2 linked regions of the Sus scrofa genome follow. The protein of the gene in region 2 purifies or fractionates together with the protein of the main gene of each other region. This does not show direct contact. Links are inferred from orthologs where the notes say so. Each region holds a gene or a part of one and is shown on either strand. Other genes may lie near its edges.

Region 1 (7,342 bases), on a different chromosome or scaffold from region 2:
GCCAAAAAACAAAACTGTGTATCAATGAATATCCTTATGTATATAATATGGGCACTTGTATAAAACCTTCTGTAGGATTAATTTTAGAAATGGAACAGCAAGATCCAATTTTTTTTCAATAACAAATACATATCCTTCAATCTTTTTTTTTTTTTTTTAAGGGCCTTTTTGTCTTCTTTTTAGGGCCACACCCATGGCATACAGAAGTTCCCAGATTAACATATAATATTCACATACCATAAAATTTACCCATTTAAAAGGTATAATGCAACAGTTTTTAGTACATTCACAGAGTTGTGCAAGCACCACAATAATGAATTTTAGAACTTTTCATCACTCCCAAAGAAAACTTGGAATCCATCCTCCCCTCTCTCCAATCCTGACAACCATTAACCTACTTTCTTTTTCTTTTCTTTTCTTTTTTTTTTTTTAATGCTTTTTAGGGTCACACCTGTAGCATATGGAAGTTCCCTGGCTAGGGGTTGATTCAGAGCTACAGCGGCCGGTCTACACCACAGCAAAGCAGGATCCTACTGGGAGATTCCTGCGCCATAGCAGGAACTCTGTCTTTCCCCCTTTTTAAATCTCTACTGGCCAACTTGCCATTCTGCATATTTATAACAGCTTGTCAATCATTTCATTCCATCGCAGGTAACTCTTTCTTAGAAAAATGGAATAAACTACTGATTCAAATTTAGTAAATCCAGAAAACTGTCTTCAGGAGTTACAATCTCTCAAATAGTCTGAAATTAACTGGCAGTGAATTATTTTGCTAGTAGAATATGGCAAAGGAAGAAGCCAATAACATAACAGAAATAAAGTTAAGCTTATACAAAATAACTTACCTCAGAAAAAAACCCACTATATTTTGATGATGGGCTTTCTGTCTGTGACGAACTAGAATCACTGGAGTTAACCGAATATGTTCGACTATCATGGCGTAATTTTTCAGGGAGGTGGCCTGCACAAGCCAGTTCATTTTCTTTATTTGCCATGTCACAGCCCCCACTTCTAGGGGACTGTTTTCTTCTGTAACAAGGGTTTGGAAAAGGATGATGAACTTTCTTTCTGCGATAGATCACCTTACGTAGTTTATCTGGGCTTTTCACAGCTTGACCAACTGTTCTGTAAAAAGAATTAATTTTCTTAAATGAAAAAAAGAAAAACACGTGAAAAGCTTTAAAAGTTTTTAAAGAGAAAGATTTAGTAGGCCACATTTTGTGATCACAATTCACTAAAATCAGAAGTAAGGGGAATAATCTTTTAAAAATCTTAACTCTTAGATTGAAGAGGAAAATAAAAGGCAAATTACAAACCATATGGAAAGCAATGAAAGGGATATTTTGTACCAAAAGAAAACAAACAGCCATAACAACTAGATGCTTTAAAAATATTACAGGGTATTCAGGGAATATGAAAGTTCTAACAATTTCTAGTCACTTATTCTTTTTCTAAGTGACATAATTATTGTTTAAGTTTGAATATTTTAATTTGAATTATTCAAGTTTGAATATATATTGTAATACATAATAAAAGATAACACTTATTTTGATTACGTTGAAGTATATTTAATTTTTTTTTTTTGTCTTCTTTTTAGGGCCACACTCATGGCATACAGAAGTTCCCAGGCTAGGGGTTAAATCAGAGCTGCAGGAGTTCCTGTCGTGGCGCAGTGGTTAACGAATCCGACTAGGAACCATGAGGTTGCGGGTTCGGTCCCTGCCCCTTGCTCAGTGGGTTAATGATCCGGCGTTGCCGTGAGCTGTGGTGTAGGTCGAAGATGCGGCTTGGATCCTGAGTTGCTGTGGCTCTGACGTAGGCTGGCAGCTACAGCTCCGATTGGACCCCTAGCCTGGGAAGCTCCATATGCCGCAGGAGCGGCCCAAGAAATGGCAAAAAAAACAACAACAACAACAACAAAAAACCAAAACAAAACAAAAAAACAGAGCTGCAGCTGCCAGTCTACACCACAGCCACAGCAACACTGGATCCAAGCCTTGTCTACTACCTATACCACAGCTCAAGGCAACACCTCATGAATAACTAGTCAAGTTTGTTACTACTGAGTCACAAAGGAAGTCCTTAATTTGTCTGAATAAGATAAAACATAATAAAGCACATCTCATAATTTAGTATAGTGGTTATCAAATGTTTTGGTCTCAGGATTCTTTGCACTCTTAAAAATTACTGGGGTCTTAAAAGAATTTTTTTATGTGGGCAATATCTGAATGAGAAACTAAAACTAAGAAAATTTATCAATTCATCAAAAATGATAAACTCATTATATATTAACAATATTAAAAGAAAACTTTAGGAGTTCCCATCGTGGCACAGAAGAAATGAATCTGACTAGGAACCATGAGGTTGTGGGTTTGATCCCTGGCCTCGCTCAGTGAGTTAAGGATCTGGTGTTGCCATGAGCTGTGGTGTAGGTTGCAGATGCAGCTTGGATCTGGCATTGCTGTGGCTCTGGTGTAGGCCAGTGGCAACAGCTCTGATTAGACCCCTAGCCTGGGAACCTCCATATACTGTGGGTGTGGTCCTAAAAAGACAAACAAACAAAAACTTTATTTTCTAAAACAAACAAAAAATACAGTGAGGCATTCCTGCTATGCTGCAGTGGGTTAAGAATCTGACTGCAGTGGCTAAGGTCACTGCAGAAATGCAGGATCGGTTCTCAGCTCGGCACAGTGGGATAAAGGATCTGGCACTGCTGTAGCGGCAGTGTAGGTCTAAGCTGCAGCTTGGATTCAATCCCTAGTCCAAGAACATCCACATGCCACAGGAATGGCCATTAAAAAAAAAAAATACGGTGAAGAGTTCCCATCGTGGCTCAGCAGTAACGAACCTGACTAGTATCCATGAGGAAGCAGGTTCTATCCCTGGCCTTGCTCTGTGAGTTAAAAGATCCGGTATTGCCGTGAGCTGTGGTATAGGTCACAGATGTCTCTTGGATCTGGTGTTGCTATGGCTGTGGTGTAGGCCAGTAGCTACAGCTACAATTTGACCTGTAGGCTGGGAACTTCCATGTGCTAAGGGTGCAGCCCCAAAAACATGAAGAAAAAGACAAAAAAACAAAAACAAAAAACAATGAGAAGAATGGCACTTGTGCAAAAATCTCTTAATATCTGGTGCAATTTTACATTTGTACAAAATCTCTAATACCTGGTTTAACAGAAGTCAGCTGGATTCTCATATCTGCTTCTGCATTCAAACTACTGAGATATTAAATATCATGCAGCCTCTGGAAAACCCTAATGTACACTTATAAAAGAGTGGAAATGAAGAAGGTGAATAAGGTCTTAATACTGTAAAGATAGTTTTGACCTCACAAACTCCCTGAAAGGGCTTCAGCGACCTCCAGATCCTCACATCACACTTTGAGAACCAGAGGTTTAGCAGAAAGGACCTTTAGAGTTTGGCAAATCTGAGAATAAATGCCATTTTAACAAACTTCTGGATAAGCGACCCTAAAGAAATCATAAATCCTTAGTTTTCCTCACCAACTATTTGGGGTAATGATACTGATCTATCTAATACTGATATGTTTATTAGCACAGTGCCTGGCACAAAGGAGCTGCTTGAAAATAAATTAATATTAGTATAATGAAAGAGAATATTTTTTCCCCTATTTTCATTCTTATCCAGCTTTTAATATTTGCTATTTCCCACAAACCCCCTTTTTATTTTGGCCATAGCCGCGTGCAGCAACCTGATGTAGGATTTCAGTTCCCAGAACAGAGACTGAACCTGGGCTGCAGCAGTGAAATCACCAAGTCCTAACCACTAGATCAGCAGGGAATTCCCACCCCAAACTTAAAAGAAGCTCTTACCTAGTTATGTAAGCAGCCAACTGTTTTGGAGATTTCTTAACCTGAAAAATAAACGTAGATAGTTGCATTATATTTATGTTCTTCAACAAGGCTATGTAAACTTTGTGACTGATATCAACAGGTATGAAATTCAACAGTTTAAAATTTCAGATTAAAGCTTTTACTGTTCTAATGCTGTACTCTGAATCATTAGTTACAACAACATTGTATGGAGGTATTTTTGACAATGCAGTACGTCCATCTTCCTAGTTTCCATGCTCCTAGTCACAGACTGTGTACTTACAGAGTGTTTATTAATAAGTACTTACAGATTGCTTATTAATAAGTGGGTTGAATTTACATGTATATATATATTTGGCTGCACCCGTGGCATGTGGAAGTTCCTAGAACAAGAATCAAACCTGTGCCACAGCAGTGACTCAAGCCACAGCAATGACAACACTGGATCCTTTAACCATCAGGCCATCAGGGAACTCCTAATATAGTTTTAAGAAATAATATCAGGGCTAATAAGCCTTGCAATGGTGAGCAAATAGCACCTATGCGATTCCTCTAAAATTAAACTAAAATATTCAAATTATACCATATCAAAACTGGTCAGTACACTGGCCAAAAAGTTTTTAGAGCTTTTGGAATATAAAGAGTTTTCAATTATTTCATAATTCTACTTAATTTTGGCAGCATTCAGCAGAACTGTTACCCTCCCATTGTTTAAATACTTTAGCCAAAACATGCATAGACTTAGTAGTTTAAACTGTCTGTGCCAAACTGAATTTCTCTGTCTTGCCAAAATTCCTATGTTGAAATACTAACTCCCAGAGTGATGGTGTTAGGAGGCAGGGCTTTGGGGAGGTGATTAATCACAAGGGAAACACTTCATGAATAGGATTAGTGTCATTTTAAAGAGAGCCCAGAGAATTCTCTTTCCCTTTCTACACTGTGAGGAAGTAGAGAGAAGTCAGCCATCTAAAAACCAGGAAGTGGGCTGTCACTGGATACCAACTCTGCTAGGGATCTTGGACTTCTTAGCCTCTGGAACTGGGAGAAATAAATTTCTGCTTTTATGAACCACCCAGTCTATGATATTCTGCTGTAGAAGCCTAAACAGACTGAGATACTGTCTTACTCACTCCTAGAAACCAGGGGACTTACCTCCTTCATGTTCTTATTAGTGAAATTAGAGATCCTTTTTCTAGGAAGATCAATGGAATGATCCTCAATATTATTACAAGAGTTGCATTTTTTAACATTGTGGGTTTCAGAGGCCATAATCTCTTAAATACCTAGACAAAAAATAAAAATAATAAATGGAAAATACAAAAAACCAAAAGACCCTGATCCCATTCTTAACACATATGCAAAAATATACCAGCCCTATGCTATGTGAAAAACAGGCTTAAGAGTAAAGCAGATAAGATTTAGACAAACCTCATTTTACTGCACTTCACAGTTATTGTGACTTTCTGTGTGCGTTTGTTTTTGTCTTTTTAGGGCTGTACCTGCGGCATATGGAGGTTCCCAGGCTAGGGGGTCTAACCAGGGCTGTAGCCTCCGGCCTATACCAAAGCCACAGCAACGCCAGACCTGAGCCTCGTCTTCAACCTACACCACAGCTCATGGCAACACCATATCCTTAACCCACTGAGCAAGGCCAGGGATGGAACCTGCAACCTTACGGTTCCTAGTTGGATTTGTTTCCAATGCACCATGACAGGAACTGCTTTAAAATTTGGGGGGGGGGGCACTTTTTAAAATAAGTTGAAAGCTTGTGGCAACTTCGTGTTGATTAAGTCTGTTGGTACCATTTTCTCAACAGCATTTATTCACTTCATGTCTGTGTCACATTTTGGTCATTTTCACAATATTTCAAGCATTATTATATTTGTTTTGATAATTTATGGTCAGGGATCTTTGATGCTACTTTTTGTTTTCAAGCATTAGGAACTGTGTTCATATACAACATGGTGAACTTAATTGATATATGTTTATGTTCTGGCTGCTCCACTGACTGGCTATTTCCCATCTCTCACCCTCTCCTCAGGCCTTCCCAATCCCTAGGACACAACTACACTGAAATTAGGTTGATGAATAACCCTACAATGGCCTCCAAGTATTCAAGTGAAAAGAAGAGTTGTAAGTCTCTCCTTTCATTTATGTATTATTTTTCTTGGCTGCACCATGGCATGTGGGAATTCCTGGGCCAGAGGTCAAACATGCACCACAGCAGTGACAGTGTCAGATCCTTAACCCACTGAGCCATCAGGGAACTCCAGCAAGTCTCTCCTTTTAAATCAAAGTTAGAAATCAATAAGCTTAGTGAGGAAGGCATGTCAAAAGCTGAGAAGGCTAAAAGTGAGGCCTCTTGGACCAATTAGGCAAGTTGTGAATACAAAGGAAAAGTTCTTGAACACACAAATGGTAAAGGAAAATAGTCTTATTGTTAATATGGAGAAAGTTTTAGCAGTTTGGATAGAAGACCAAACCAATCAAAACATTCCCTTAAGCCAAAACCTATTTCAGAGCAAGACCCTAACTCCCTTTAATCCTATGAAGCCTGAGAGAGGTAAGAAAGCTGCAGAAGTAAAGTCTAAAGCTAGCAAAGGTTAATTCATGAAGTTTCAGGAAAGAAGCTGTTCTGTAACATAAAAGTACAAGGTGAAGCAGCAAGAGCTAATGTAGAAGCTGCAATGAATTATCTAGAAGATATAGATAAGATCATTAGCGAAGGAGGCTACACTAAATGACAGTTTTCAGTGTAGATGAAACAGCCTTCTGTTGGAAGAAGATGCCATGTAGGACTTTCATAGCTAGAGAGGAGAGGTCAAGCCTGGCTTCAAAGCTGCAAAGGACAGGCTGAGTCTTATTAAAGGTTAAAGCAGCAGGAGACTGTAAGTTGAAGCCAATGGCCATTTACCATTCTAAAAATCCTTGGGCCCTTAAGAACTATGCTAAATCTACTCTACCTGTACTCTATAAATGGAATAACAAACCCTGGATAAAAGCACATCTGTTCACAACATGGTTTACTGAATATTTTAAGCCCACAGTTGAGACATACTGCTTAGAAAAAAAAGATTCCTTTCAAAATACCACTGCTCATCAACAATGCACCCAGAACTCTGATGGAGATATACAACGAAACTGTTATTTTCATGTTGCTGACACAGTATCTATTTTGCAGCCCATGGATCAAGGAGTAATTTCAACTTTCAAGTCTTATTACTTAAGAAATATATTTCATATGTCTCTATCAGAGTAAACTGGAAAACTTCTGGAATGGATTCACCACTCTAGATGCCATTACAAACATTTGTGATTCATGGAAAGAGGTCAAAATGTCAACATAAACAGGATTTTGGAAAAGTTGACTCTAATACTCATAGATGACTTTGAGGGGTTCAAGACCAATGGAGGAAGTAACTGTAGTGGAAACAGCAAGAGGACTGGAATGAGTAGTAGAACCAGAGGATGCGACTGAATTTCTGCAATTTCATGATAAGACTTCAATA
Region 2 (7,066 bases):
AACAAAATATAATTTGTGAGTCAATCAAAAGCACTTTTTTTTCCCTCTATTTGTGTAGAACAAATCTCCTGCTGCAGTTACAGAACCAGAGACAAATAAATTTGATAGTACTGGATATGATAAGGACTTAGTAGAAGCTTTGGAAAGAGATATAATTTCTCAGAACCCCAATGTTCGATGGTAAGTTATATCACAAGAAAATAATTGGGTGCTGATGATGCTTTTTGGAACAGAAAATGGAGCAAATGTGAGCATGTACTGAGGATCAGTCCTTGAGGGTTGAACTGGATGGAGTACATATATACTATCTGGCATGGCACATAATGAATGAAAAAACTTCACTTTGCTTCAGTCTGTGCCAGTTTCTGTCTCAGATTTTTAAATTTGATGAAATAAATGATAACAATAAAATAACGTTTTTATTAAATAAAAAAATCCTATATACCAAATGGAAATAAGGTCACAGAAATTTCATCTTCTTTTTGGGACACTCTCTAATGGTAAAATGGTAGTCATTCTTTTTTTTTAATACCCGCTTCTGTGGCATGTGAACGTTCCTGGGCCAGGGATTGTGTCTGAGCTGCAGCTCTGACCTGTGCCGCAGCTGCAGCAAGGCTAGATCCTTTAACCTCCTGCACTGGGCCAGGGATCAAACCTGTGTCTCTGTAATGACCTGAGCTGCCGCAGTCAGTTCTTTTTTTGTCTTTTTTTTTTTGCTATTTCTTGGGCCGCTCCTGCGGCATATGGAGATTCCTAGGCTAGGGGTCCAGTCGGAGCTGTAGCCACTGGCCTACACCAGAGCCACAACAACGCGGGATCCGAGCCACGTCTGCAACCTACACCACAGCTCACGGCAACGCCGGATCCTCAACCCACTGAGCAAGGGCAGGGACCGAACCCGCAACCTCATGGTTCCTAGTCGGATTCGTTAACCACTGCGCCACGACGGGAACTCCCGCAGTCAGTTCTTAACCCATTGCACCACAGAGGGAACTCTGGCAGTCATTCTTATGCATGTGTGTTGCTGTTATCTTTAGGTTTATCTAATATATGTTGTTTTTATTTCCTATTACTCAGAGCAGTGGTTCTCTGTTAATATTATACCTGTAATTTATCACAGCGAGTTATAAAGCACTCTTTCCCACAAAGTTAGGTACATTCTGGTGTATATTTTTTAAAACTTTAATTATTTTTAGGTACATTTGGGGGGCATCTTAAAATATATTGTCCTATCATATATCATAATATATTAGCATGCCATGTGTACCAGTAGTTGTAGTAGTGGTTGTGTTCTAGTGGTTGGAGATGACTTCACAGCAGTCTCTATGGTGCTCTCTAACCTTGGTGTCTACCTCTTATAGCATTGAGGTCAAAGAGGCAGTTTTGCAGCCTGTGTCTGCTTTATGCCCTTTTTATTCTTTATGGTTTTTTAATAGGTTCATTATTTTTTTATTATTATTATTATTTTAGCTTTCTAGGGCCAAACCCACGGCATATGGAAGTTCCCAGGCTAGGGGATCAAACGTGCATCTTCATGAACACTAGTCAGATGTGTTACCACTGAGCCACGATGGGAACTCTTAGGTTCATTATTTTTAAATCATGGAGTTTGAGGAATGAGCCTTGTAAGAGGAGGAATTTATTTATTTATTTTTGTCTTTTTGCCATTTCTTGGGCCGCTCCTGCGGCACATGGAGGTTCCCAGGCTAGGGGTCTAATCGGAGCTGTAGCTGCCAGCCTACACCAGAGCCACAGCAACGCCGGATCCGAGCCGCGTCTGCAACCTACACCACAGCTCATGGCAACGCTGGATCGTTAACCCACTGAGCAAGGGCAGGGATTGAACCCGCCACCTCATGGTTCCTAGTCTGATTCGTTAACCACTGCGCCACGACGGGAACTCCCTAAGAGGAGGAATTTAAAGTGAGATGGCATCATAACACTTAAGGGTCGGCCGTAGACCTGTGTTCTCATCCACCAAGCTGAAAATCATTACTGCCAATAATTGAAGTCTCAGATAGGGCTCTGGCCATATACTGGTTGGCGTGGCAGGGCTCATCACGGGTGTCAGTTCACAAGTGCCTAGAAGAAGCGTAGCATTCTGTCAGTAGTGTAAAATTGTGTGATTCAGTGATTCTCAAAAATGACTACATGAGTTAAGCATATAACCTAAGCTTGTTGGTAAAATATCTTCTCTTTCAGGGATGATATTGCTGATTTAGTAGAAGCTAAAAAGTTGCTTAAGGAAGCTGTGGTGTTACCAATGTGGATGCCAGAGTTCTTTAAGGGCATTAGGAGACCGTGGAAAGTAAGTTTACCACTATTATGGCATCGTCAAAGCAAATGGCAGGTGCATGGCTGTAGAAAGCCATTATTTATCTGTATTGGGGTAAGTGAGAGGAGAAAAGAGTAGGTAAAGAAAATTTCAACTTGAAAACTATATTGTGTTATTCAGAACTTTCGACTGAAAGCTATTGCAAGGTTCCCAGAATAAGAAACAGGTGGAGTGAGGTCTTTGGAAAGTTGGACACACAGCAGATTTATAATGAACTTATATTTGCAAATATGAACACGTTGCCTAATCCAAAAATAATCCATTTTATGTGTCATGTTGTAGAACTTATATCTGTATTTCTTGGAATTGTTCTTAAGAAATTAATAAGACATATTTGGATCTCATGAGTACTTTTTTTTTTTTTTTTTTCTTTTGTCTTTTTGCCATTTTCTTGGGCCGCTCCCGCGGCATATGGAGGTTCCCAGGCTAGGGTTCGAATCGGAGCTGTAGCCACCGGCCTATGCCAGAGCCACAGCAACGCGGGATCCGGGCTGCATCTGCAACCTACACCACAGCTCACAGCAACGCCGGATCCTTCCCCAACTGAGCAAGGGCAGGGATCGAACCCACAACCTCATGGTTCCTAGTTGGGTTCGTTAACCACTGAGCCATGACGGGAACTCCTCATGAGTACTTTTTAAAAACCATGTGCTGGTCCAAAAAAAGACTCTCCAAAACACTCTTGGATTTGGGAAATGTGCTAATGACTAACGCTGTACATTGATTGATTGATTGGTTGCTTTTTAGGGCCACACCCACGGCATGTGGAAGTTCCCAGGCTAGGGGTTGAATTGGAGCTGTAGCTGCTGGCCTACGCCACAGCAACTCGGGATCCAAGCTGTGTCTACCACAGCTCACGGTAACGCCGGATCTCCGACCTACTGAGCAAGGCCAGGGTTGAACCTGCATCCTCATGGATACTAACTAGTCGGATTTGTTTCCACTGCACCACCATGGAACTCCCTGTACTTATTTTTTATTCTTGAAATGTTCAGTGAAAAGCAGAATACAAAATTATAGACCTACTTTGAGTCCAACTAAGTAAAAAAAACAGTATCTAATTTGTTTGAGTGAAAAGACTAGTAGGAAATGGATCCAGATACTAATGGCACCTGTGTTAGGGTATGATATAATATCAGTACATTAATACTTATTATATTTCTTCTCTTAGTTCCAGATTATTAATAATAATGTATGACTTCCTTGCCTTTATAATGGAAAAATTACATTTGTGATAAAGTATCCTTCTTTGTCTTTTGTCCTAATATTATGTGTAAGTTGGTTGAAAACTGATCCTTAGTAATGGAATTCCTGTGAATTAGAACAATGGTGGATAAATCTTTTGCTGATGCTCTTCTATTTCCAACAGGGAGTGTTGATGGTGGGCCCACCTGGTACAGGAAAGACCCTTCTCGCCAAAGCGGTGGCTACGGAATGCAAGACAACATTCTTCAATGTCTCGTCATCAACCCTGACTTCCAAATACAGAGGAGAGTCTGAGAAGCTTGTTCGTCTTCTGTTCGAAATGGCAAGTGTTTGAGACGGCGCTAATGATTCTTTACTACTAAAAGGGGAGAAAGTGGAGTTCCCTTGTGGCTCAGCAGGTTAAGGATCCAGTGTTGTCACTGCAGCAGCTCGGGTCACTGCTATGGCACGGGTTCTGTCCTGGGCCTGGAAACTTCCACAGGCTCTGGGTGCTGACAGAAAAAAAAAGAAAAGAAAAAGAAAGAAAAATGAATGTAATTAAACTTTCTTAGAGGGAATCTGTGTGATTTTATTTAAGGTAGTGGTTCTCTTTAACAAATTTTTCCCTGGAACTTCAGAACACTTAGCAGTGTCTGTAAATGTCTTCCCACCATTGTTATCCCTGTCACTGTAGTATACAGATAATCCTGTATTCCTATGACTCCTAAACAAATAGATAGAACCAGTTACAGTATTCAATAGCACAAAAAGTGCCATTAATATTTAAGTATATAATAAGTCCACCTTAGCAGCTGTAATTTAGCTTTTCCAGCTCTGTCTTCCCTCCCCAGTATTAGGACAAAAGAGACAGCTGCCCAGTGTGGCAGACTCCTGAGCTGTTTTCTAATTGCTAAACTATAGGTTACTTTTGGGTTTGGGGGGTTTTTTGTTTTGTTTTGTTTTGTTTTTGCGTTTTTAGGGCTGCACCCGAGGCAGTGGAGGTTCCCAGGCTAGGGGTCTAATTGGAGCTATAGCCACCAACCTACGCCAGAGCCACAGCAACGCCAGATCCGAGCCATGTCTGTGACCTACACCACAGCTCACAACAACACCGGATCCTTGACCCACTGAGCAAGGCCAGGGATCGAACCCGCAACCTCATGGTTCCTAGTCAGGTTTGTTTCGCCTGCGCCACGACAGGAACTCCTATAGGTTACTTTTGAATGAAATAAAAACCTGGTTTCTTTCTTTAGGCTCGATTTTATTCTCCAGCCACCATATTTATTGATGAGATAGATTCCATTTGCAGTCGCAGAGGGACTTCTGAAGAGCACGAGGCAAGCAGAAGGGTGAAAGCCGAGCTGCTGGTTCAGATGGATGGTATGCATGTGTATCTGCGTGAACTGACTGAGCTCTCCTCCTAGTGCCAACCCACACATCCAGATAACGGGAGGGGCTGCCAAGTAGGTCCTGGAGATGGACAGCGGTGACACACCGGAAATAATGGCTCTTCATTCATAGGACACACACACTGATCTCATTTTTAGCCATGAAATTGAAATAAATGCAGATAAATTGGCCTTAGAAAGGGAGATGTATGGTTTTGGTTTTGAATAATTTTTTAAATTGCTGTGTAACTAAGCTGAACTGGCCTTTTTTTTTTTTTTCCTTTCCTATTTTGGCTGCCCCATGGCATATGGAGCTCCCTGGCCAGGTATCAGATCTGAGCCACAGTTGTGACCTATGCCACAGCTGTGGCAATGCTAGATCCTTTAACCCACTGTGTCGGGCTGGTGATCAAACCTGTGTCCTGGCACTGCAGACAGGCCACCAAACCCCTTGCATCACAGTGGGAACTCATGAATTAGTCTTTTGATTAAAACTATTTTAAGTCATGTTTTTCGCATACTTACAAAAACTTATGCTTCTCAGGACCACAAATTCATTTATGTACTAGTTAGCTTTATTAAGTCTTAAGGAGGCTTGATGATTATACTCCTTTTATTGTTGTGCTAAGTATCTGATGATCTTTAAGTAGTTGAGCTTTGTTTTGTGTCTGTTTTACCATATTCTTACCCTTCGTTAAGGTGTTGGAGGTGCTTCTGAAAATGATGACCCTTCCAAAATGGTTATGGTTCTGGCAGCTACTAATTTTCCCTGGGATATTGATGAGGCTTTAAGAAGACGTCTTGAAAAAAGAATCTATATCCCATTACCATCAGGTATCTTCATTTGAATCAGAAAGCTCATATTAACTCTTAGTTTTGCTTAGAAATTAAGAATTTTGGTATTAATGAACTTTTTTTTTTTTTTTTTTTTTTTTTTGTCTTTTGTCCTTTTAGGGCCGTATCTGCGGCATATGGAGGTTCCCAGGCTAGGGGTCGAATTAGAGCTGTTGCTGCCGGCCTACGCCAGCGCCACAGCAATGCCAGATCCAAGCCATGTCTGCAGCCTACACCACAGCTCACAGCAACACCGGATCCCTAGCCCACTGAGCAAGGCCAGGGATCAAACCCACAACCTCATGGTTCCTAGTTGGATTCGTTTCCACTGTACCACAAAGGGAATTTCTGAACTTTCCTTTAAAAGACAAATATAGGATGTCTTTCCTTATATTAACTGGTTTGGCTATATCTGGAGCCTAAAGCCTTGATACTAGGGAATTTAAAATTCAGTAAAGGAGTTCCCATCGTGGCACAGTAGTTAATGAATCCGACTAGGAACCATGAGGTTGTGGGTTCGGTCCCTGCCCTTGCTCAGTGGGTTAATGATCCAGTGTTGCTGTGAGCTGTGGTGTAGGTCTCAGACACGGCTCGGATCCCGCGTTGCTGTGGCTCTGGCGTAGGCCGGTGACTACAGCTCTGATTCGACCCCTAACCTGGGAACCTCCATGTGCCGTGGAAGCGGCCCAAAGAAATAGCAAAAAGACAAAAAAAAAAGACAGATAACATTTAAAAAAAAAAAAAAAAAATAAAATTCAATGAAATAATTCTATTTAAAAAAATTAATTAAAAATTTTAAAATAAATTCATTGAGGAACAGCTCTTAAATTTTTGAAGCAAATAAGCTGTAAGAATTGGAAGACAAATTCTCGAGGTGGACTGGAGAAAAGTAAAACATTACTTACGTTGAAGGCTTACATTTTAAAATTTGTTTCTACCATTAGCAAAAGGCAGGGAGGAGCTTTTACGAATCAGTCTGCGTGAGCTGGAACTGGCTGATGATGTTGATCTTGCAAGTATAGCAGAAAACATGGAAGGTTATTCTGGTGCGGACATTACCAACGTGTGCAGGTATGAACTGTTTTGGAAGCATAGGCTTTTGTGGGTATAAACTCACAATAGTTTTCATGCTGAATTAAGATGAAGAATAAAGACCCATATTATAATCTAGTTAGAGACCTAAGTTTTGGTTTTAAGTTAGGGTCAGGTAGTGCTGATAGGTCATTTGGGTGTCTTGCATGTCAGTGAAGTAGCTACAGTTTAAAAGCTACAAGTTCAAGAACCTAATGTTTGAACAATTGGTGTAAAATTTAGAAAATAATTG

What was found.
Region 1: the proteins of KATNA1 (region 2) and KATNBL1 purify together in Homo sapiens (affinity purification with mass spectrometry; 3 studies listed by BioGRID and IntAct, counting the BioPlex papers as one, with this or other methods). This does not show direct contact. The link is inferred for Sus scrofa from reciprocal best matches to the Homo sapiens genes KATNA1 and KATNBL1.

Annotation. Positions count from the first base shown.
Region 1 is NC_010449.5:80,334,580-80,341,921, reverse strand, and holds part of KATNBL1 (chromosome 15 open reading frame 29), read right to left. Parts: intron 5,117-7,342; 5' UTR 5,103-5,116; coding exon 4,986-5,102; intron 3,875-4,985; coding exon 3,834-3,874; intron 1,126-3,833; coding exon 846-1,125; intron 1-845.
Region 2 is NC_010443.5:16,352,241-16,359,306, forward strand, and holds part of KATNA1 (katanin p60 ATPase-containing subunit A1), read left to right. Parts: intron 1-58; coding exon 59-180; intron 181-2,202; coding exon 2,203-2,308; intron 2,309-3,704; coding exon 3,705-3,863; intron 3,864-4,773; coding exon 4,774-4,900; intron 4,901-5,607; coding exon 5,608-5,742; intron 5,743-6,686; coding exon 6,687-6,813; intron 6,814-7,066. UniProt on the Homo sapiens protein: Catalytic subunit of a complex which severs microtubules in an ATP-dependent manner. Microtubule severing may promote rapid reorganization of cellular microtubule arrays and the release of microtubules from the centrosome following nucleation.